Linked DNA regions of Cricetulus griseus. The protein of the gene in region 1 interacts with the protein of each later gene in a pairwise test. Links are inferred from orthologs where the notes say so. Each region holds a gene or a part of one and is shown in the gene's direction. Other genes may lie near its edges. The genes, in order: Thap7, Ccndbp1, Mtus2 and Lurap1.

Region 1 (5,067 bases):
ATCTGAAACATGAAATTTTAAAAGAATGTTAAATGTTAGTTATTTTCAAAAGTATAATACTAGCTTTTACAGTTCAAAGTGGGTCCACAGTTCTCAACTTTTTAACAAACTGTCATTTATAAGGCCAATATAAACTCCACTGTATTTTCCTTTTTTCTGATAGGCAGGCATTAACTACCAGCCCCCCTTTATGGTCCCTGGGGGAGACCTGGCCAAGGAACAGCAGGCCATGTGTATGCTCAGCAAAACAACTGCCACTGAAGAGGCCTGGGCTCACCTAAATCACAAGTTCAACCTCATGCATGCCAGAGAGGCCTTTACGCACATCTATGTGACAGCAGGTGTGGAGGGGTGTTCTCTGAGGTCCAGAGGACCTGGCAGCCTCGGGGAAGGGTTATTAAGAGATGGCTGTGGATTCTGCAGAATGAGGGGGGGGAATACTGAGTGCAGCTATGTGGCTGGCAGTTATATCTTTATCTCCCCCCCTACTGTTAACATTACTTTTACTTCATACAGTACTTTAAAAACAAAACAAGACAAAAAACAAAGTTCCCTGTCTAGATAGCTGCCTTTCTTGGAAGGGCCAACTACTAAATTCCTCTGCAGCAAATACATTTGTTTTCTCTAAGACATTAATAGGCATATCTATATGCTCAGTTACTAACAAGATAAGTCAATTGGGGCAACACACATTGTTTTAAATTGAAGAATGAAGTCCCTCACACCGCGTGTGAACGCAGCTGGGGTTCCACCCAAGCTGTAGAAACCTAGGTTTCTACATTAGCTTTCCTCCTCGGCTGGCAAATGTTTATGTCCCCAGATTGCACTCAGTTTTGAGCACTGGTTTAAAGACCTTGATCTAAAATGGACCCTCCAGGACTGCTAATGTCACAAAGTAGATGCTAGAAAGAGATCCTGTTGCCTGGCCCAGCTGGGAGTGCCAGGTTTCTCCTGAGACAGCGGTAAAATCCCAGTGGGCTCAGACCCTCCTGGCCGTGTTTGCAGTCCCTCTGCTGACGCAGTTAATTCCGTTACTTTAAGAACTCTTTTTTGTCTTTACGTTTTATCTTGTGCATACGCATGCATGCACACGTGCGATATGTGGGGGTCAGAGGACAACTAGTGGGCATTGGTTCTTCCCTTCTAACCATGGCGGGCAGGGAAATCAAACTCGGATCCTCAGGGTTGGCAGAAAGTGCCGAGTCACCCAGGGCCCTTGGCGGGGTTCTTTCAGGCAAGAGCCCAGATTTTTCTTGGTGGTGAATCTTCTTTCAACCAGAGTGTCAGGGAGCACTACAGATCGCACCGGGGCTGCTTAGTCCTAACGGCGAGCGCTCGGTAGTCACCCTGGATACACAAACAAAACAAGGGAGCGAGGACACGGCCGCTCCGGGGATCTCAAGCACCTCAGCGGCAACGATCGGCCCGCACTCCCAACATCCGGTGGCCGGCCCGCCAGGATCTCTTCCGGTCCCGCCCCTTGAGGGCAGTCGCAGCCCGCTACGGAGTCCCTACGCTCCCAACTTCCGCATTGACCCACCCATCGCGAGACTTTGGCGGCGCAGCAATGGCAAGACCGTGAGTACCGCTGACGGGAGTCTATAGAACGAGTTAGGACGGGATTGGGACGAGGTCGGGCCGCGGGGGAGCCGGCAGGTTCAGGCCCTCTGGAGGGAGTGGCGGCGGGGCGTGAAGGCAGTCCCCTCCCCCCGGCTGCCGCCCACGACCCAGCTCCCACCCCTTCCCCAGATGCCGCGACACTGCTCCGCCGCCGGCTGCTGCACACGGGATACGCGCGAGACTCGCAACCGCGGCATCTCCTTCCACAGGTCAGCGCGCGTGCGTAGTGGCACGCGAGGGCTCACATGCGCAGGCGCTGGTGTTGCTGCACTTTAGGCCGCGCAGGAGACAGCGCCTTCCTGAGGTCGAAGTGAGGCTTGAACTTTGTGAGCGGGAGGGTGAAGGGCGGTCGAGGAGTCCCGAATCCAGCCGAAAAGGACTGGGCGCTTTCTTGCCTTGGACTTGGAGCTCTAACTCTTTGCTGCTAGGTGATGCTAAGCAGGCCCTGTTCCTTCCTTCTCTCGTCCTCAGTTTACTCCTAGCGGGTGGTAATCCGAAAGGGTCGCGGGGAGGTCTGCCCCTCTTGCCTGGGGAGCTTGGGCATCCTGATCGCGGGCTGCAGCAGTCTGGTGCTCACGGTTTTGTGGCTCTGCAGACTTCCCAAGAAAGACAACCCCAGGCGCGGCTTGTGGCTGGCCAACTGTCAGCGGCTGGACCCCAGCGGCCAGGGCCTGTGGGACCCGGCCTCTGAGTACATCTACTTCTGCTCCAAACACTTCGAGGAAAACTGCTTTGAGCTGGTGGGAATCAGGTGGGTTTTTCTGCCAGATGACACTTGAACAGGTGGTGAGGCATCAGAGCAGTGAGTGTGGCAAGTGGGGCGGCTCTGTGCCCTGGTGAAGCCCATGAACGGCTGGCTGGCACGCTCACAGACAGGCACACCTATGTCGAGGGTGCTGTGACCTCTTCCCAGTTGTGTGCAGTAAAGCATGGCCCCAGGATTACCATGCCAGTAGCATCCGAGAATAACAGCCTTTCCCGGCTGGGAAGACAGTTTTCCCAGGTCTGGAGAAGACAAAACTAAAAGATACCAGGGCTCCTGCCAGCTAGCTAGTCTAGATGAGTTGTTGAGACCTGTGTTCAAGGGGACACTGTCATTCATAGATAGATAGATAGATAGATAGATAGATAGATAGATAGATAGATAGATAGAAAAAATGTGGGTGAGCTGGAGAGATGGCTTAACAATGTAGAGCACTTGTTACTCTTCTAGAGAACCAGGGTTCAATTCCCAGCACCAAGGGATATCCCTTGCCTTCTTCGTACTTCTAAGGGCCCTGGCACACAGGTGGTACATACACATTGTACATGTAGGCAAAACATTCATACTCATAAATAGGGCTGGTGAGATGGCTCAGAGGTTAAGAGGCTTCAAGCTGTCACTGGTGTCACCTTTAAACCCAGCACTCTGGAGGCAGAGGCAGGCGGATCTGTGAGTTTGAGGCCAGCCTGGTCTACAGAGTGAGTTCCAGGACAGGCTCCAAAGCTACACAGAGAGACCATGTCTTGAAAAACAAAAAAGATACTGGTTTCTTCCAGACGACTTGGGTTCATTTGCCATCATCCACATGGTGGCTCACAAGCCAGTAAACTCTAGTTCCAGGGATCTAGTGCTCTTTCTGACTTCTGTGGGTACCAGGCATGTGGATAGTCATATGTACAGGCAAAGCACCCATACACATAAATGTTTTTAAGGAGAAAAAAGAAATCTTTAAAAACAGGTGGAGAATAATTTTAAGAAGGCCTCTGATATCCACACAAAAGTAAAATAGCTTTTCTCTGGGGTATTTGGCCCCTAGTTCTTCCAGCAGGCCCACAAATGAGAGACTTCTGACTAGTCCACCTAGCCGTGCGGGGGTGGGGAGGCGTTGTCCATTCACTTCAAGTCTGGATGCTCATTCACAGGGCAGACTAGTTGGATTCTACCAAACTTGGCATTCTTCAGATTATTGGCAGTGTGCCATGAAGCCCATAGCCCTAGTGCTGAGGGGAGCTATGTTGGGACCAGGGGAAGTGGCAGCACTTTATTTCCACCTCATCTGGGCTGCTTTTCCCCACAGTGGGTATCACAGGCTGAAGGAAGGGGCAGTCCCCACCATATTTGAGTCTTTCTCCAAGTTACGTCGAACAACCAAGACCAAGGGGCATGGTTATCCACCTGGCCTGCCTGATGTCAGCCGGCTCCGGCGATGCAGGAAGCGGTATGTGCTGAAGGAGGGAGATGCCCCACCCTCCCCCCAGGGCTGAGGGACTGAACTGTAGGGTGAGTGCCAGCATCTTCACTGAACAGGGTTCTTGCTGCCTGGACCCAGTGAAGGGGCTCAGGTGTTAGGGAGTGTAAGTGGGTGTATGAGGGTCCTGGCATGCTCTTAGTTGGCTAGTCAGTTTCTGTCTCCCCTCCAGCTGCTCTGAAGGTCAAGGACCCACAACCCTGTTTTCTCCACCTCCTGCTGACATCATCTGCTTCCCTGTGGAAGAAGCCTCAGCGCCTGCCACTCTGCCTGCATCCCCAGCTGTGAGGCTGGAACCTGGCCTTAACAGCCCCTTCTCAGATCTTCTGGGCCCGGTAGGTGCCCAAGCAGAGGAAGCAGGCTGTAGTGCCCAGCCTTCACCAGAGCAGCACCCCTCCCCTCTTGAGCCACGGCCTATCTCCCCATCTGCTTACATGTTGCGGCTGCCACCACCTGCTGGAGCCTACATCCAGAATGAGCACAGCTACCAAGTGGGGAGTGCCTTGCTCTGGAAGAGGAGAGCTGAAGCAGCTCTTGATGCTCTGGACAAGGCCCAGCGCCAGCTGCAGGCCTGCAAACGTAGGGAACAGCGGCTTAGACTTCGACTGACCAAGCTGCAGCAGGAACGGGCACGAGAGAAGAGGGCACAGGCAGATGCCCGCCAGACCCTGAAGGACCATGTACAGGACTTCGCTTTGCAGCTGAGCAATAGCATGGCATGAGGACACCCAAGGCTCTGGTCTCTCTTCCTCAGAGGTATTTGATTGGAACTACATCCACCAGGCTGACCGGAAGTCACAATAAAGTGGATGCTAGAAAGAGACCTTGCTGTTTGGCTCAGCTGGGGGGTGCCAGACTCCTCCCTAGACAATGGCCAAAGCCTCAGAGGGATCAGGCCCTGACATGCACCCTCCTGACCATGGGGAATCTTTGTTTGCAGTCCCTCCACTTATTTACTCACTCTTTCAAGTAAGAAAGCCAGCTCCTTTGAGTTCAGCTCTGTCCTTCTCCCTCCTTTTTTCGAGTCAGGGTTTCATGTAGTCCAGGCTGGTGTTATTGAAGCCACAGATGACATTGAACTCCTGATTCTCCTTGTACCTTCTGAGTAGAGTGATGGGCATGTGCCATCATACCCACTGTCAGACTGGGTACCTATGTAGAGGCACAACAAGCTTCTGCCCACAGGCCTCATCCGTTTGACCAGTCCCTTGAACTG
Region 2 (5,016 bases), on another chromosome or scaffold:
AAGCTGTCCCTCCCTGAACATCTGTATGTTGGAAGTGTTAACTACTGATTCCTGCAGTGTGGACTGCAGAATCTAACAACCGATTCTTTCTTCCTCAGGAGGCAAAGAGCCCTGATCACAGAGATTCCAAAGGTGGGAGTCTCTGTTACTCAAGTACCTCAGAACTACTGTGTTTGTTAGGGTCATCCTGTGAAAAGCATCCAGCCCAAGCCCGGAATCCAGAAGGTGTCCAGAGTGCCATTTTATGCCTAGGGAACCTGTGGAGACTTGGGCTGGACCTTGACCACTCTAGAAACATTACTTCCCAGCCTGTTTTCCCACGGATTATGGGTTTTCTGCTTCCTTAGTTGGGGCCGTTTTTAACTAATCAAATAAATGAATGAATGATAAATATCACGAATGTTGGGCTGGAAAAATAGCATGGTAGTTAAGAGCATGTACTTCACGCTGGGCAGTGGTGGCACACACGTTTAGTCCCAGCACTTGGGAGGCAGAGGCAGGAGGATCTCTGTGAGTTCGACACCCGCCTGGTCTACAAGAGCTAGTTCCACAACAGCCTCCAAAGCCACAGAGAAACCCTGCCTCGAAAAACTAAAAAAAAAAACAAAAAAAAACAAAAAAAAAAACATGTACTTCCTGAGTTCAATTTCCAGCAACTATGTCAGGTGGCTCCAGGTTAGAGCCTCTGTGGGTCCTTTGCATTCATGTGTGCACAGACTTATACATAGCATAATAGAATATAAATATTAAAAGAAAGATCGGGGCTGGAGAGATGATTCACTGATTAAGAGCATTGGCTGCTCTCCCAGAGGACCCTGGTTCAATATCCAGCACCCACATGGCAGCTTTCTATAACTCCAGTTCTAGGGAATCTGACACCCTCACACAGACATACATTCAGACAAAACACCAATGCATATAAAAATTTTTTAAAAAACTAAAAAGAAATACCACACGGATCTGTACTGTAGCTAAACATTGGAACCATGGTGTCTGGGGCTTGGAGAAAGAGTCACAACGGGGATGTCACAGGCAGACTTGCCAGCAAAAAACTCAAGACACATAAAATGGCAAAAAAAAAAAAAAAAAAAAAGTGGTCAGGTCTCTAGTAGGTCAGAGAACGCATGGCTGGGTCTTTAGAAGGCGTGGCAGGTGTGGCAGGGTGTCAAGGTGGGGTGGGGGAGAGGGGCAGGGCCGGGCGCCTGGACCCGAGTCCCAGTCTGTAGGCCTGCTGGGAACCGGCAGCCTGGTGAAGGAGGAGTGTCTGAGTCTCTAGGCCCCGCAGGGGAGCTGTGGGCGGGTCTCTAGGAAAGGGAGGCGTGGCCTGATCTCTAAGTGGATCGGGCAAGAGTAGGCGGGTCTGTAGGCGGAGGGAGGCGTGGCCTGACGGCCTGGCTGTCCGGGAAGGCGGGGTCGCGTCACTGAGGAGGAAGGGGCGGGGCGTGATGTGTCTTGCCGGAAGCGAGAGGTGTTTTCGGCACCGGAAATACAGCGGCAGGGGCCGAACGGCTTAAGCGTCCTAGCTAAGGTACGCTGTGAGACGCTGTGATGGCGAGTTCGGCAGCCGCAGCCTCCTTCCTTGCTCCGACTCTGGAGCAGCTCCGGCACCTGGCAGCGGAGCTGCGGTCACTTCTGCCTCTAGTGAGGGGTGAGTTGTGGGAATCTGAGGCCCGGGGCTCCGGGTAGGGCGGCGGTCGGGCGTCACGTCAGGTGACGTGTCTTTTGCTCACCTGTCTTTTGCTTTGGTGGTCCGGCCTCCCACGCTACACCCTCAAGTCGGCGAAGCCCAGGAGACAGCCGAGGAATTTAATCGAGAGATGTTCTGGAGAAGACTTAGTGAGTTTCTCTGCCGTTGCAGACTCTTCCCTCCTCACTCCTGCCTCCTAACCTCTTTCCCCTCTGTTGTCCCAAGAGGAGGTGACAATCCCTCCCGGCCTCGGGACGATTTCTGGAGTTGTTTTGGAGTTGTTTATGATGATAAGGGTGGAGAAGGGATGCGTTATCTTAAAAAATCCGTGTAGTGGTTGCAGCTTCCACCTTTAACACTAACTTTGGTATCCGCCGCCTCTACCACCCCCAGATGAGGCAGCAGTGAACCTGTCAGGGGAAGCCACGATTCTGACCACACTTTTCTCCCGACTTCCACTGCCGTCTCCACGGGTGAGCTTTACTTCCTGGGATTTGTGTGCTGCCTCTAGTTTTCTTGTCACCCTTTACCCTCAAGCCACGTTTATTTTCTTCATTTATTTAATGAGATTATAGTTCTTACCGCATAGGATTGTTGTGAGGACCAAATAGCCAAGTGCAAACGGTAGAAAGGTCTTTCAAATTCAGTCAGGTTAGTTCCTCGGAATTTTAAAAGCTCTTTTTGATTTATAGCTGTTTCTCATACATACTCCCCATCTGACAGATGAGCTAGTAAGTTTAGAGACTTGGATCAAGATTAATAAATGGTGGAGGTGGAGTTAAAAGCCTACAAAGTATCTAAGCAACAGCTATTGCACAATACCCTTTAGTATTAAACTGTTTACCTTTTTATTTAATTACTAATATGTGGATAAAGTTCAAAAGATACCAGAGTACACTAAAATACATGTATATATCTTCCCACCCCAGTTTATCTTTCTATTTCGTTCCCATTTCCTTCTGTATTACTCCATACAATTTGTTCTATGTATATATACATCGCTCTGTGTGTGCTTCTTTTTACACAGTGGTTAGATACTATAAGCATTGTTCTAGACCTTTTAAAAAGTAATATAGCTTAGAAGTTGACTTTTTTTTTTTTTTTTTTTTTTTTTTTTTGGTTTTTCGAGACAGGGTTTCTCTGTGGCTTTGGAGACTGGAACTAACTCTTGTAGACCAGGCTGGCCTCAAACTCACAGAGATCCGCCTGCCTCTGCCTCATGAGTGCTGGAGTTAAAGGCATGGGCCACCACCATCCAGCTAGAAGTTGATTCTTAATGACACATAAAAAAGTTGCTTAGTTCTTTGTAATACTTGATGTAGAGTAACTATAGCTATAAACAATAGCCCAGGTGGACATTTTAAACTGTTTCTAACTTGCAACTATTGTAAATGGCACTGTAGTGAATTGTCAGTTATAATCTTTGCATACATATATGTATTAATAGAAAAAAATTCCAGAGGTGAACTTACAGGAACAAAGAATTAATGCATTTTAAATAATCGTTTATTATGTAACCAAAAGTAAAGCTGGATATTGGCTGTGATCAACCAACATGTGAATGCCCTGTGCCATATTTTTCTAGAGCTACATGTACTTCAGAGTAGTTTATTTTTTTGTTAAATGTTTATTTCATGTCTATGAGTATTTTGCTTGCATGTATGTGCATATGAATTCTGTGCTTAGTATCTATCCATGGAGGCCAGAAGAGGGCACTGGATTCTCTGGAACTAGAGTTAAGGATGGTTGTGAGCTTCCATGTGGGTGCTGGGAACTGAATCTGGGTCCTCTATAAGAGCAGCCAATGCTCTTAACCTCTGAGCCATCTCTCCAGCCCAAAGAGTAGGTTATTTTATGACGACATAGTCGTTGCCTCAATTTTCATAGTAGTTTCAATAACTATGTATCCAGATGTTGTATTTTTGTTTATTTTTTCACTCACATATAACTATACAAATACTCTACTACTGAGCTACACATGCATGAATGTTTTCTTTTGGTTTTATTGGTTTTCTAGAGACATGGTTTCTCTGTGGAGCTCTGGCTGTTCTGGAACTCACTCTGTAGATCAGGCTGGCTTTGAACTTGGAGATCTGTCTGCCTCTGCCTCCTGAGTGCTGGTATTAAAGGTGTGCGCCACCACCTAGTATGAATGTCTTAATGTGATAGAAAGTTCCTTTTACAACATAAAATTATAAAAATACATACCCCTCTTTCCTGTACTTTTTGTTGTGTTTTTTTTTTTTTTTTTGTTTGTTTGTTTTTCCAGACAGGGTTTCTCTGTGTAGCTTTGGAACCTATCCTGGCACTTGCTCTGTAGACCAGGCTGGCCTCGAACTCACAGAGATCCACCTGCCTCTGCCTCCCTAGTGCTGGGATTAAAGGCATGAGCCACCGACGCCTGGCTCTTTTTGGTTTTTTGAGATAGGGTTTCTTTGTGTAGCTCTGGCCATCCTGGAACTAGCTGTATAGACCGGACTGGTCTAGATCTCAGAGATCCATCTGCCTCTGCCTCTGCCTCTGCCTCTGCCTCCTGAGTGCTGGTACTGGGATTAAAGGTGTGTGCCACTACTGCCTGTCCCCTGTGTATCTTAAAACAATGGTTTTCAAATTGTGGGTCACGACCCTTTTGTTACGGTGAGACAACAGGCGTCATAATAGCAGATATCTAGCATATCAAATATTTACATTATAATTCATAACATTAGCAATGAAAATATTTTTATGGTTGGGGCTACCACAACATAAGAAACTGTATTAAAGGGTCACAGCATTAAGAAGAACCACAGTCTTGAGCAATTTGGCAGTAAGAAAAAAAGATAAATTGTATGACAGCAAGCAAAGACGTAGTAATTGCCTGATTCAGTAGTTGGGCTGTATTCAACAAAAGACCAGGTGCTGAATATTTTAGGCTTTGTAGGACAACTGCTTAACTCTTCCCTTGTAATACAAGTACAACTGTTAGATGCTTGTAAATTAATGAGCATGACTGTGTCCTAGTAACACTCCATATATAAAACCCACCAGTGAGCCTAGGGGGAGCCTCTGGGCTATAATTTGCTTCCTACTGGTCTAAGTGCAGTGATTATCTCATGGCACAACATGATTGCTTAAGATATTAAATAGCAGAAATGAGGTTTTCCTTCATTTTGTAATGCTTTTTTGAATTGTCTGGTATCTGCCTAATTTCTTTCTAGTGTGGGATGAGTACTCCATAGGCTTTCAGAAAATATTTGTTCATGTTTTATAGGTATTTGATCTCTTCTTCAGTAAATAGGCTGACAGCATTGATATTGAACATTTGCTCTGTTCATTCTGAATTTGTCCAT
Region 3 (5,270 bases), about 12 Mb from region 1:
CATATATAATCTGTGGTTAGAATAGCAGTTTTATTTTATTTTTTATTTTATTTATTTCATTTTTTATTTTTTTATTTCTCGAGACAGGGTTTCTCTGTGTAGCTTTGGAGCCTATCCTGGCACTCGCTCTGGAGACCAGGCTGGCCTCGAACTCACAGAAATCCTCCTGCTTCTGCCTCCCGAGTGCTGGGATTAAAGGCATGCGCCACCAATGCCCTGCTAGAATGGCAATTTTAACTGGAAAGTGCTCCACTTTCAAAAATAAAATGCTAGGCGCCTCTCCTCCCTTAAATCACTGACAGAAAACATGTTCTCTGTGGAGTGGTCTCATAATCTGAAAAGTCAATACATGCCATCTTTTGTATTTCAAATATTTATCTCACTGCACTAAGAAAGATGAGTAGAATAGCCAAAGGTCCATCAAGATGTAAATTAGTGAGCTGGAGCGATGGCTCGGCACGAACTAGTCAGGTATGTCTGAAGCAAGTGTTACTAGGAACTCATGTGCACTGAGGGAGGTGTACGGGTATGTGTTGAGGGTAGTGGGAGCAGAGGTCACAGCTGGGAATGCCAAGGCCTGACCAAGTGACACCAGGTGGAGTGAGGCATCATTGATACTCTGGCATGCTTGGCAGTCTTTCACATCCCCATCTTGTCAGGGGAGGGTAGAGCTGTCAGAGGTAAACTGAGTCTCAGAGAGCTTCTCCAGGTCACCTCCCCTTTCTCCAGGTCACGTCCCCTTTCAGATCTCCAGAGTCTGGAAAGAAGAAACTTCCATGAGAAAATATTTCCATGGGAAGGGCCAGTAGGCAAGTTTCAGCTACGTTTTCTTAATTAGTGGTGGATGTGAGAGGGCCAAGCCGATTTCGGGTGATGTCATCCCTGGTCCAGCAAGCCTTGGAGAGCAAGCCAGTAAGCATCATTCCTCTGTGGCCTCTGCTTTAGTTCCTGCCTTGACTTTCCTTTCTGATGGAGTGTAAACTGAAATAAGCCCTTTCTTCCCCAAGTTGTTTTTGGTCATGGGGTTTTATAAGAGCAAGAGAAACCTAAGAAAGACATGGAGCAGAGGGGATTGACCTGTGCCTGGAGCCTGGTAGCAGCAGGTATTAATTAGCTGGGCACAGCCGAAGGGGGAGGGCAGCAGGTCCGTGGTGCCCGCACTGGGACAAAATGAACAGGTTGCACATTGACCTGAGAGCTGGCAACAACCTCCAATAGAGAACATGGAGGCAGAGATGGCTTCAGGATAGGACTGGGAATCCGGGCTGACCTCAAGGGGAGAAGGGCTCTTTCTAGTGCAGAGATTAAAATAAACAGAAAATGTGAGCACTTGATTGCATAATTCCAATTGTATCTAGAATGGGTTTAAAGTGATGTTTAACAATAATTGGTACATAATTGTGCATATTATGACATTTAATAGACATATAGGTCAGCATGGTCACATGAAGGGAATGGCATACCCACAACCTTTGACATCATGTCTTTGTATTGGGATGTTGTACACCAATAACCTCCTAATTCAAACATTTGGTCAGGAGGGAGGCAACTTCAGACTCCGGAAGTAAACAAAACTTACAAGGCTTGTGAAGTTCCTGAAACTTACAAGATTCCCAAGGCTGTTACCCAAGGTTATCTAAGAAGTAACAAAGGCTGGTGGAAGGAGACTCTGAGCCTGCAGGTCATTCTGGGAGCTCCTGGGATGTAGCTCTTGCTTTTAAGATAAATAATAAAGCAATCGATCTTTTCCTTGTAACTGAAAAAATGCAGCCTGCCAGCAAAAGAACTGGCTGAGAAAAGTATCTTGCATGCTTAATCTATAAGAAGTTGCTTGGACATGAATGTGTGTGGGGTTTTGGAGATAATTTGTTTTTCACCTGTAATACATGATATAATCGTGTAAGGGAAATGGGAAACATGCTTTTTTTTTTTTTTTTTCTTTCTTGTATTCACTGCAGTTGTTCACTTGAAAAATAGAATGTCACCACAGTGTAATTTTTATACTGCTTGAAAGATTCTGACTGGGCAAATAAGCTGTAAGGGATATAAATTAAGAATACACAGAAGGGATACATCTGGATAGAGGTAAGAAAAGAAAGAGATAAAAGAGAGATATGATAGAAAGACTCTAAAGGGTGTGTGTGTGTGTTTGTGTGTGTGTGTGTGTTTTCCTTTTTCGCCAGCCCCAGGGAGTTAAGTTTGCCCCAATGACCAGCCCCCCAAAATTAAGTTTTACATCCTCAGATAGAAAAGTCAATTGTGTGATTAGTCTGCTCGATTTCATGGCTCCCCCTCAAATCCTGAGCTGCTGAAGGCTGGTCCTCATGGCAGCAACACAGCATGGAAACAGAAACAGATCCGGTTTTTTGTTTTGTTTTGTTTTTTGTTTTGGCATATTCAATTACCAATGTCAACCATAGTGTCTGTTGGGTTCCTGAATGTTCAGAGTTCTTCTATGCAACTGTACCTGTCAACCACCCCCTCCCCGTCCCTGTCCTTCCCTGATGCTCACTCCTGTCCCTTGGTAATCGTTCTACTTTCTGTTCTAGTGACCTGGAGTTTTTAGCTTCCACATGTATGAGTGGGTGTGCAGTGTTTGTTTTTCTGTGTCTGACACCTCACTTTATGGAATGCATTTGGGTTGATGTTTTGCTGTGGCTAGTTCCCGGATATGAGTGTCTTTTATAAGAATACAGACTTGACTGCAGGGTCATGGGTGGGGCTCAGGCATACGTGTTTTAAAAGAATGATCCCAGGATACTTATTATTGCATAGAGATACCTCCTGCCGATGGATGTCTGAGATTTCAAGATAGCAAGGTGTACTGGCTTGCTTTTCCGTTGCTGTGATAAAACACTGGCCAAAATCATCTTGGGAAGGAAAGGATTTATTTGGCTTACACTTCCAGGTTACAAACTGTCAGTAAGTGAAGTCAGGGCAGGAACTCTAGGGAGGTGCTCAAATAAACTCTGGAGAGGAATGCTGCTTGCTGACTCACTCTCTGACCCAGGCTCAGGCTCGGGCTCATGTTTATGTTTAGCTATCTTTCTATAGCATCCTTCATTCATCTGCCTAGGGATGGTACCACCCACAGTGGGCTAGGCCCTCTCACTTTAATCAACCAATCTGATTCAGGCAGTCCCTCAGTTGATGTTCCCTCTTTCCAGTTGAGTGTAGGTTGTATCAAATTGACAGCCAGGACAGAGGGTGAAGCCAATTTTTGGTCGGCTTGATAGTGTTTCTCAAATTATGCTGTGGTTCTACTCCATCAAACCTTGAGAGAAAATTTGTTTGAGGGTGGTAGGGTTCCACATATCATAACTTGTCTTTCTTTTCTCTGGTCCAGTGGGACTCCTGGGTGTCAATGAGCGTGCTTGGCTTAGAGTCATATGAATGTCACCTGCCTTACTTCCTTCTCTGACCCTGGGATACAGAAAATCCATCAGCAGGTATGCGTTAGCCTTCTTGCTATGTATCTAGTGACCATACACTTTGTGGCATAAAACCCTTCGCTATCTTATGTTCCCACAGTTGTGGAGTTCAGGCATGGCTTAGCTGGACCTGTTCCACAGGCCATAATGTGGCCATCAGCCAGGCTGGCTCTTAGATGGAGCTTGGAGCTCCTCCAGTGTTCCTGGTTGTTGGCAGAATCCACTTCCTTCTGGTTATACAACTTCTTATTTGTGATGGACTGTAGGTCTATAGGTCTGTAGGTCATTGGCAGTCTGCTATTACATGGCAGATGTGTCTGAGACCAATACAGACAGGCATTTTCTTTCTGTATCTCTCTGGGTAGCCCTTGCATTCATATAAGGTAGCTGAATGAAGAAAGTGATGTCCTGTCCTCTCTACAGAATGGCTGTGTATTAACCTGCTTAGGCTGCCACGACAAACTACCTTAGACCAGTCTGATTATTATATCTTTTTTTTTTTTTTTCACTTTAAAGGTGTGGGTAAGGGGGCCTAATCACTCTTCCAAGGTCCTGGTTGATAGGTTATCCAATTCCAAGTGGTCAACACTAAATACATGTACATATGAACAGTACTAAATGGATTGGGTTTGTGTGTGTATGTCTAATAATTAAAAAAGGTCATGAATTTGATAGTCAGTGGGGGAGAGGGGACATGGGAGAAGTTAGAGGGAGGTCAAAATGATGGAAATACAGTACTCATATATGAAATTCTCAGAAAAAGAAATGAAGTTAATTCGGGCAGTGGTGGTACACACCTTTAATCCCAGGACTCAGGAGGCAGAGGCAAGTGGATCTCTGTGAGTTCAAGGCCAGCCTGGTCTACAAAGTGAGTTCCAGAACAGCCTCCAAAACCACAGAGAAACCCTATCTGGAAAAACCAAAACCAAAACCAACGCCCCCCCCCCAAAAAAAAAACAAACAAAAAAAATGAAGTTAAAAACAATTCACAACCTCCCCAAACTGCACCAGGCTGGTATTCAAGCATTTCAACACATGAGCTTGTGAGGGACAATTTCATAGTTAATTTATAAAATTGTCACATCATAGCTATTGCTGCCTTATGCCATTTCAGAGTCTTAGGCTCAGCCAGTGAGGACCGGTTGGTGAACAATGAGCAACCTTCTTCCCAGGAAAGCAAATGCCTTTCTGGAAGCTCCCAGAAGATCATAGCTTAGCTTTCATGCATGTCAGGTAGAGATTTCGGTATATCCACAGACACTGACTTTGTTTCAGCAGAAAAACAAAGAATTTTCCTGGGAAGACATAGCATTCCCTCCAAGAGTGCTTTGTAGAAACAGCCTTGTTTGGTTGAGGTCGGTCTCACCATGTGGCTCAGGCTTCAAACTTGAAATCCTTTTGCCTCGGTCTCCAGAGCCCTGGGGTTTCAGGACTGTTATCACCACCCCTGGTTTAGTCGCAACCCCTTTAAAATTGGTGTTTGAAAGTTTGATGGCTGTGTATTCTTTTTTTTCTTTCTCAGATTTTTTAAAAAAATTGATTTAGAAACAAGATTGTTTTACATGACAATCCCAGTTCCCCTCTCCCTCCCGACCTCCCTAACTATCCCCCCAACTAAAACCCTACCTTTTCTCCTCCCCCTGGATGGTGAGACCTTCCATAGGGTGTCATCAGAGTCTATCATATCCTTCAGGATAGGGCCTAGGCCCACCCCCATGTGTCTTGGCTCAGGGAGTATTTCTCTATGTGGAATGGACTCCCAAAGTCCACACCTATGCTAGGGATAAGTACTGAACTACTACAGGAGGTCCCATAGATTTCTGAGGTTTCCTCACTGAA
Region 4 (4,996 bases), on another chromosome or scaffold:
CCCATGGCAAAACACTAATGCAAGATGGGCGTTGGTGACACATGCCTTTAATCGCAGCACTCGGGAGGCAGAGGCAGGCAGATCTCTGTGAGTTCGAGGCCAGCCTGGTCTACAGAGCCAGTGCCAGGATAGGCTCCAAAGCTACACAGAGAAAACCTGTCTTGAAAAACAAAACATACAAACAAACAAAAAAAACCCAAAACTCCCAACAACACAAAACACTAATGCACATAAAGTAAAACTGAAAAAAACCCAGAATAATAATAAAAAATAAATTTAGAATGAGTGGTAGAAGATTTGGATGGTTGGATTGGAGAGATGGCTTGGCAGTTATAGAGCACATATTGCTCTTACAGTAGGACCTGAGTTCAGTTCCCAACACCTGTATCAGACGGCTCACAATTGCCAGTAACTCTAACTCCAGGGGATCCAAGGCCCTCTTCTGACCTCTGGGGGAACCTGTACTTATGTGAATATTTCCATACAGAGACACATACATGTAGTAAATTAATATATATATATATATAGATAGATAGATAGATAGAGAGAGAGAGAGCAAATTAATAAATAAAACAAAAACAAACTACAGAACAATAACAAGCTGAAAGTAGGTTGCCTTTGGGAAGTGAGCCCAGAGGTGTGAAAGAGTAGAGGGAAGAGGTACTTTCTCATTGTAAATCTTTCTGTAATAGTGAACTGGAAGTAGAATTAAGTCCAAATGCTTAGAAATATATTGTTACTGTGTCCACAGACCAGAAGCATGGCCACCCCTGTAGCTTCTTAGGAGTGCAGACTCCCAGGGCTGGAGATGGCTCAGCACGCAATAATGACACACACTGCTCTCACAGAGAACCTGGGTTCAGTACCCAGCACAGCTCAGAACTGTTAAATCCAGCTTCCAGGGACCTGATGCTCTTCTGTGGCCTCCAGGCACCTGAACTTATGTGTACAAACCCTCAACTCACCTGAACATGAACAGGTAATTAAAATAGAAAATAAATCTTTTGAAAGGACTTTAATCCTTGTACTGTTGAGGAAGTGGCAGGTGGATCTCTGTGAGTTTCAAAGCCAGCCAGCCCACTTTACAAAGCAGGTTCCAGGCCAGACAGAACCACACAGTGAGACCCTCTGTGGGGACCCCACAACCCCCCACAAAAGGCAATGCCCTAACTTCACAAGGTTTTCAGATGAACCATATTTAGGTTGAGGAAGCACTTCTTTTGTAAGCCTAAGATCAAGACCCTGTGGATTCCTTCAATTTTAATGTTTTTTTTTTTCTCACTGGCCAGAGGGATTGATTGACCTCCTATTACATCTTCAGTCTGATTTCTAGGTGCTGGGAGGTATCTGTGAGCTGAGCAGCTATATTCTAGTATCTGTAACAGACACAGCTTTTAGCAGAAAGACTTCCAAACTCTCTGCAGTCGTGTTAGTGCGTACTGAAGTTGTCTTTTTGTTTAGCAAATATGTATTAGCTGCCTGTTGTGCGTTTAGCTGGCGTCAACAAAGGGAGAAAGCACTGAGCACCCATTGAGGTCTTCAGTTCCAAATTCAGTCGCATGCCATCCGAGGCTAGAAGTTGTGTGCGCAACACTCGGTATCTTTCTCTACCCAACTGCGCGGCTTTTCTGAGCGTTACGGCGCCCTCCTCCTGCCCCCAAGCGCCGCGCAGGCGGGGACCCACCGGTTTCGCTCCGGCTCCGTGTTCGCAGCGGAGAAGGGAGGACCCTAGGGACCTGGACCTCCGCGTCTGGTCGCCCAGCCCTGTTTTGGCTTGGGCCCACATGGAGGGGACTGCGGAGTCCCAGACGCCTGACTTGCGAGATGTGGAGGGCAAGGTGGGCAGGAAGACCCCCGAAGGGCTGCTCCGCGGGCTTCGAGGCGAGTGGGAGCTGGGATCCTCTGGGGACCTACTGCTCCCAGCGGCACCCAGCACCGGCCACGGCCTGGGGGACAAGATCATGGAGCTGAGGATGGAGCTGGTGAGCGTGGGTGCTACAGGCCACGGGCACGGGGTCCTCAGCATAAGGTCGTTTGTAGGGAAAGGCGCAGGTTCCAGGAGTTAGGCTGCCGAGGAGGGTCCCTCCTAGATCAATCCATAAACCCGGGGTTGAAAGTGGAGAGAAGTGACGTCTCATTACTTCATGACCTCTCACTCCCAAGGGTGAGTGAAGGGTTGGTAGATCCTGAGAACTGGGAGCAGTAGGCACAGCTCTTGGAACTTTCCCCTGCCCAATAATCGGGAGGAGGGAGGCGAGGGCTAAGCGGTACAAAAAACTTAGTTCAGCGCAAATTCTTACCATCGGCATCCAAGGCCACCAATTTCCTCATACCCCATTATAAGGCAACTGTTTTCTTTACCCACTCCTCCAACAAACTGGGGAAAGGTTTCTTTCCTAAGGCCCCAAGGTGTTCAAATCAGGCAAAAAAGATTTGATGAGGTAATTAATACTTGCTGAAACTGCCTGCATTAGGGGCACACTAAAAACGTCCTTTTCCCTAAGCATCCCACCATCGTGGTATTAAATATTCTAAGACCTTAACAGAGACAGTAGTGACACAGTTGGCTCTTCACCTGGAATTCAGTCTCCTTTCAGACTCCCAGGGTCTCACCTGTACCTTCTTGGGGACAAGGGAAGGAAACAGTATCACCTAGCCTTCCCTGGAGCTGTTGGTCTAGATTCTGAGCCAAAAAGGGCAGATGGGCCCCAGCGGCTCCCCCAGGGCCCTGGTTCCGGTGAAACAGATGAATTACACCTGCCACCACTTTGCAGCCAGTTCTGGAGAACTGAGGAATTGCCAGCTACTCATGGGCTAAGAACCAGAAGCCCACAGTGACTGAGCCAGTTAATAAGTCTTCTTGGGGCCCCACTGTGTGCTCTGCATTATGTCAAGCAGATCAGGAAGGGTGGAAGGAAGGACATGGGACCTCCAAGCCAGCCCAGGGCTCTCATTTTAGGCTAAGAAGCCTCCTGGGATGAGTGGTCAGAGAGTATTCATCTGATCCCTGGGGACAGGATATGAATGTCAAGTGTGTGTTTGGCCTTGGAGGTTGTAGTTGAATGCCAAATTCTCCAGAGCAGGCCTGTGACTGTATTCACCTCTGAAAGAAGCCTTGTTTGCCTCATGTACAAACTGCTCAAGACATAGAGCCTACCTAGTTTATCCTTTGCAAATTAAGTTGTTTTGTTTTGGCATTTTGAGATATGGGTTCACTATGTAGCTCAGGCTGGCCCCCCAACACATATTCCTCTTGTCTCAGCCCCTTGAGTACTGGGACTATGAGCATGTGCCACCATACCCAGCTGGAAACTAAAGTATACTGGGAATATAAGGCATGTATCAATGTCCAGCATGATACATGATATTTTTCTTTTTTAAGAATTTTAAGCCGAGCCAGGCGTTGGTGACACACACCTTTATTCCTAGTACTCGGGAGGCAGAGACAGGCGGATCTCTGAGTTCCAGGCCAGCCTGGTCTACAGAGCAAGTTTCAGGACAGCCTCCAAAGCTACAGAGAAAACCCTGCCTCCAAAAACCAAAAATAAATAAAATAAAAAACAAAGAATTTTAGGAATCTTTGTGTGGGAACATTTTGCCTGTGTGAATGTGTCTGTACCACATGCATGCCTGTTGCCCGGGGGTTAGAGAGAGCATCAGATTGCTTGCAACTGGAGTTGTGGGTGGTTGTGAGCCACTGTGTGGGTGCTGGGAACCTAACCTGGATCCTCTGCAAGAACAAGTGCTCGTGACTGTTAAGCTATCTCTCCAGTGCCATTTTTTTCTCCCTTGTACTGAACCTAGGGCTCTGCACACACAAGGTGAATGCTCTGCAGTTGAGCTGTACCACTGCTCCTACATGCTGTCCCCTTCACACTCAGGTAGCTAATGTTATACAGGAACTTAAGCAGCTGCCCACAGTCACTCAAAAAGTGAAGTCAGGATTTGAGCCCAGATTATTTGACCACACTGATCATGAAAACATGCTTTGTGGCAGACACTTTAAGGACATCTCATGTCATTGAAATACGTTTCAAATGTCTGTGGGCTTGCTTCTCATACAGGAAATCTGGAGGCAGGCCTAACCTCTGACTCTTGTTCCTTATAAACTTTAGGGGAGTAAATTTAGCTTCTGGTTTTAACTCTTTAACTTTTGGCCTGTCTGACCTGGGGTCTGAAGCTTCCCACAAACAGTGTTTTGGAGACCAGAAGAAGGAGAAGATCCATGTCAGGCTCCTTCCTCCCTCCTCAGGCCAAGATAGCATTGATTTCTTCTTGTACTCTGCTCTAACTGCTGGTTTACTGACACAGAAGGGCAGGGCAGGAGATTGGAGTCCTCGAAGGCAGAACTGACTCTCTAAGGATTGTCCTTCAGTTGTCCCTCTCTACTTTCCTCCTGCAGAAGGGGAGGCTGGCCCTCCAGGCCAAGGTCAACCGGGTTTTTGGCTTTCTGCTCTTGCTTTGTTTCCCTAGTCTGAAGTTGAGCGACAAGCCAGACTCTGAGATGTGTGGGGATGGCAGTGGCAGCGTCCACCCAAAGAGCTGTTGCTATGAGCAGCCACCTCCACAGAGCAGTTTATGGGAGCACAATAGGCAAGGAATGGGGGAAAGGCATGAGTTCAAATTTTGTCTCCTGATGTATTTTGTGGACTTAAGGAGGGTCCTGTCTCTTCCTTGCCCTTAGAGTTTTTTTGTCCTTTGATGGAGGAAATGAGGGCATGATCGTGGAACTAGACAACTGTTAATTTAGTGACAATAGTTAATCCCAACAGTCAGTTACCAGGGATCTAGAAACTGGTCTTCAGGCTTTTTTTTTTTTTCTTCCTGTTTGTGTATATATAGACAAGTGTTTGTCTATATATACAGTTTTTTTTATTAGTTCTAGTTAGGGAACAAGCTTGTTTCACATGTAAGTCCCTTCTCCCTCTCCCTCCCCTCACCCCCATCCCTCCTCCTGGTCTTCAGGCTTAACCTGAGCCTGATTTGGGTTGAGCAA

The links.
Region 2: the proteins of Thap7 (region 1) and Ccndbp1 interact in binary tests that used the Homo sapiens proteins (3 or more experiments, as listed by UniProt). The two-hybrid records come from large-scale screens. The link is inferred for Cricetulus griseus from reciprocal best matches to the Homo sapiens genes THAP7 and CCNDBP1.
Region 3: the proteins of Thap7 (region 1) and Mtus2 interact in binary tests that used the Homo sapiens proteins (3 or more experiments, as listed by UniProt). The two-hybrid records come from large-scale screens. The link is inferred for Cricetulus griseus from reciprocal best matches to the Homo sapiens genes THAP7 and MTUS2.
Region 4: the proteins of Thap7 (region 1) and Lurap1 interact in a two-hybrid assay, tested with the Homo sapiens proteins (2 studies listed by BioGRID and IntAct). The two-hybrid records come from large-scale screens. The link is inferred for Cricetulus griseus from reciprocal best matches to the Homo sapiens genes THAP7 and LURAP1.

The regions. Positions count from the first base shown.
Region 1 is NC_048597.1:71,784,320-71,789,386, forward strand, and holds Thap7 (THAP domain-containing protein 7), read left to right. Parts: upstream 1-1,605; intron 1,606-1,749; coding exon 1,750-1,829; exon of another isoform or gene 1,830-1,865; coding exon of another isoform or gene 1,866-1,930; intron 1,931-2,215; coding exon 2,216-2,371; intron 2,372-3,680; coding exon 3,681-3,821; intron 3,822-4,023; coding exon 4,024-4,573; 3' UTR 4,574-4,847; downstream 4,848-5,067. UniProt on the Homo sapiens protein: Chromatin-associated, histone tail-binding protein that represses transcription via recruitment of HDAC3 and nuclear hormone receptor corepressors.
Region 2 is NC_048599.1:57,429,110-57,434,125, reverse strand, and holds the start of Ccndbp1 (cyclin-D1-binding protein 1), read left to right. Parts: upstream 1-1,460; 5' UTR 1,461-1,548; coding exon 1,549-1,648; intron 1,649-1,776; coding exon 1,777-1,836; intron 1,837-2,080; coding exon 2,081-2,160; intron 2,161-5,016. UniProt on the Homo sapiens protein: May negatively regulate cell cycle progression. May act at least in part via inhibition of the cyclin-D1/CDK4 complex, thereby preventing phosphorylation of RB1 and blocking E2F-dependent transcription.
Region 3 is NC_048597.1:83,800,239-83,805,508, forward strand, and holds the start of Mtus2 (microtubule-associated tumor suppressor candidate 2), read left to right. Parts: upstream 1-1,716; 5' UTR 1,717-2,085; intron 2,086-3,346; 5' UTR 3,347-3,449; intron 3,450-5,270. UniProt on the Homo sapiens protein: Binds microtubules. Together with MAPRE1 may target the microtubule depolymerase KIF2C to the plus-end of microtubules. May regulate the dynamics of microtubules at their growing distal tip.
Region 4 is NC_048595.1:36,197,150-36,202,145, forward strand, and holds the start of Lurap1 (leucine rich adaptor protein 1), read left to right. Parts: upstream 1-1,534; 5' UTR 1,535-1,559; coding exon 1,560-1,982; intron 1,983-4,996. UniProt on the Homo sapiens protein: Acts as an activator of the canonical NF-kappa-B pathway and drive the production of pro-inflammatory cytokines. Promotes the antigen (Ag)-presenting and priming function of dendritic cells via the canonical NF-kappa-B pathway.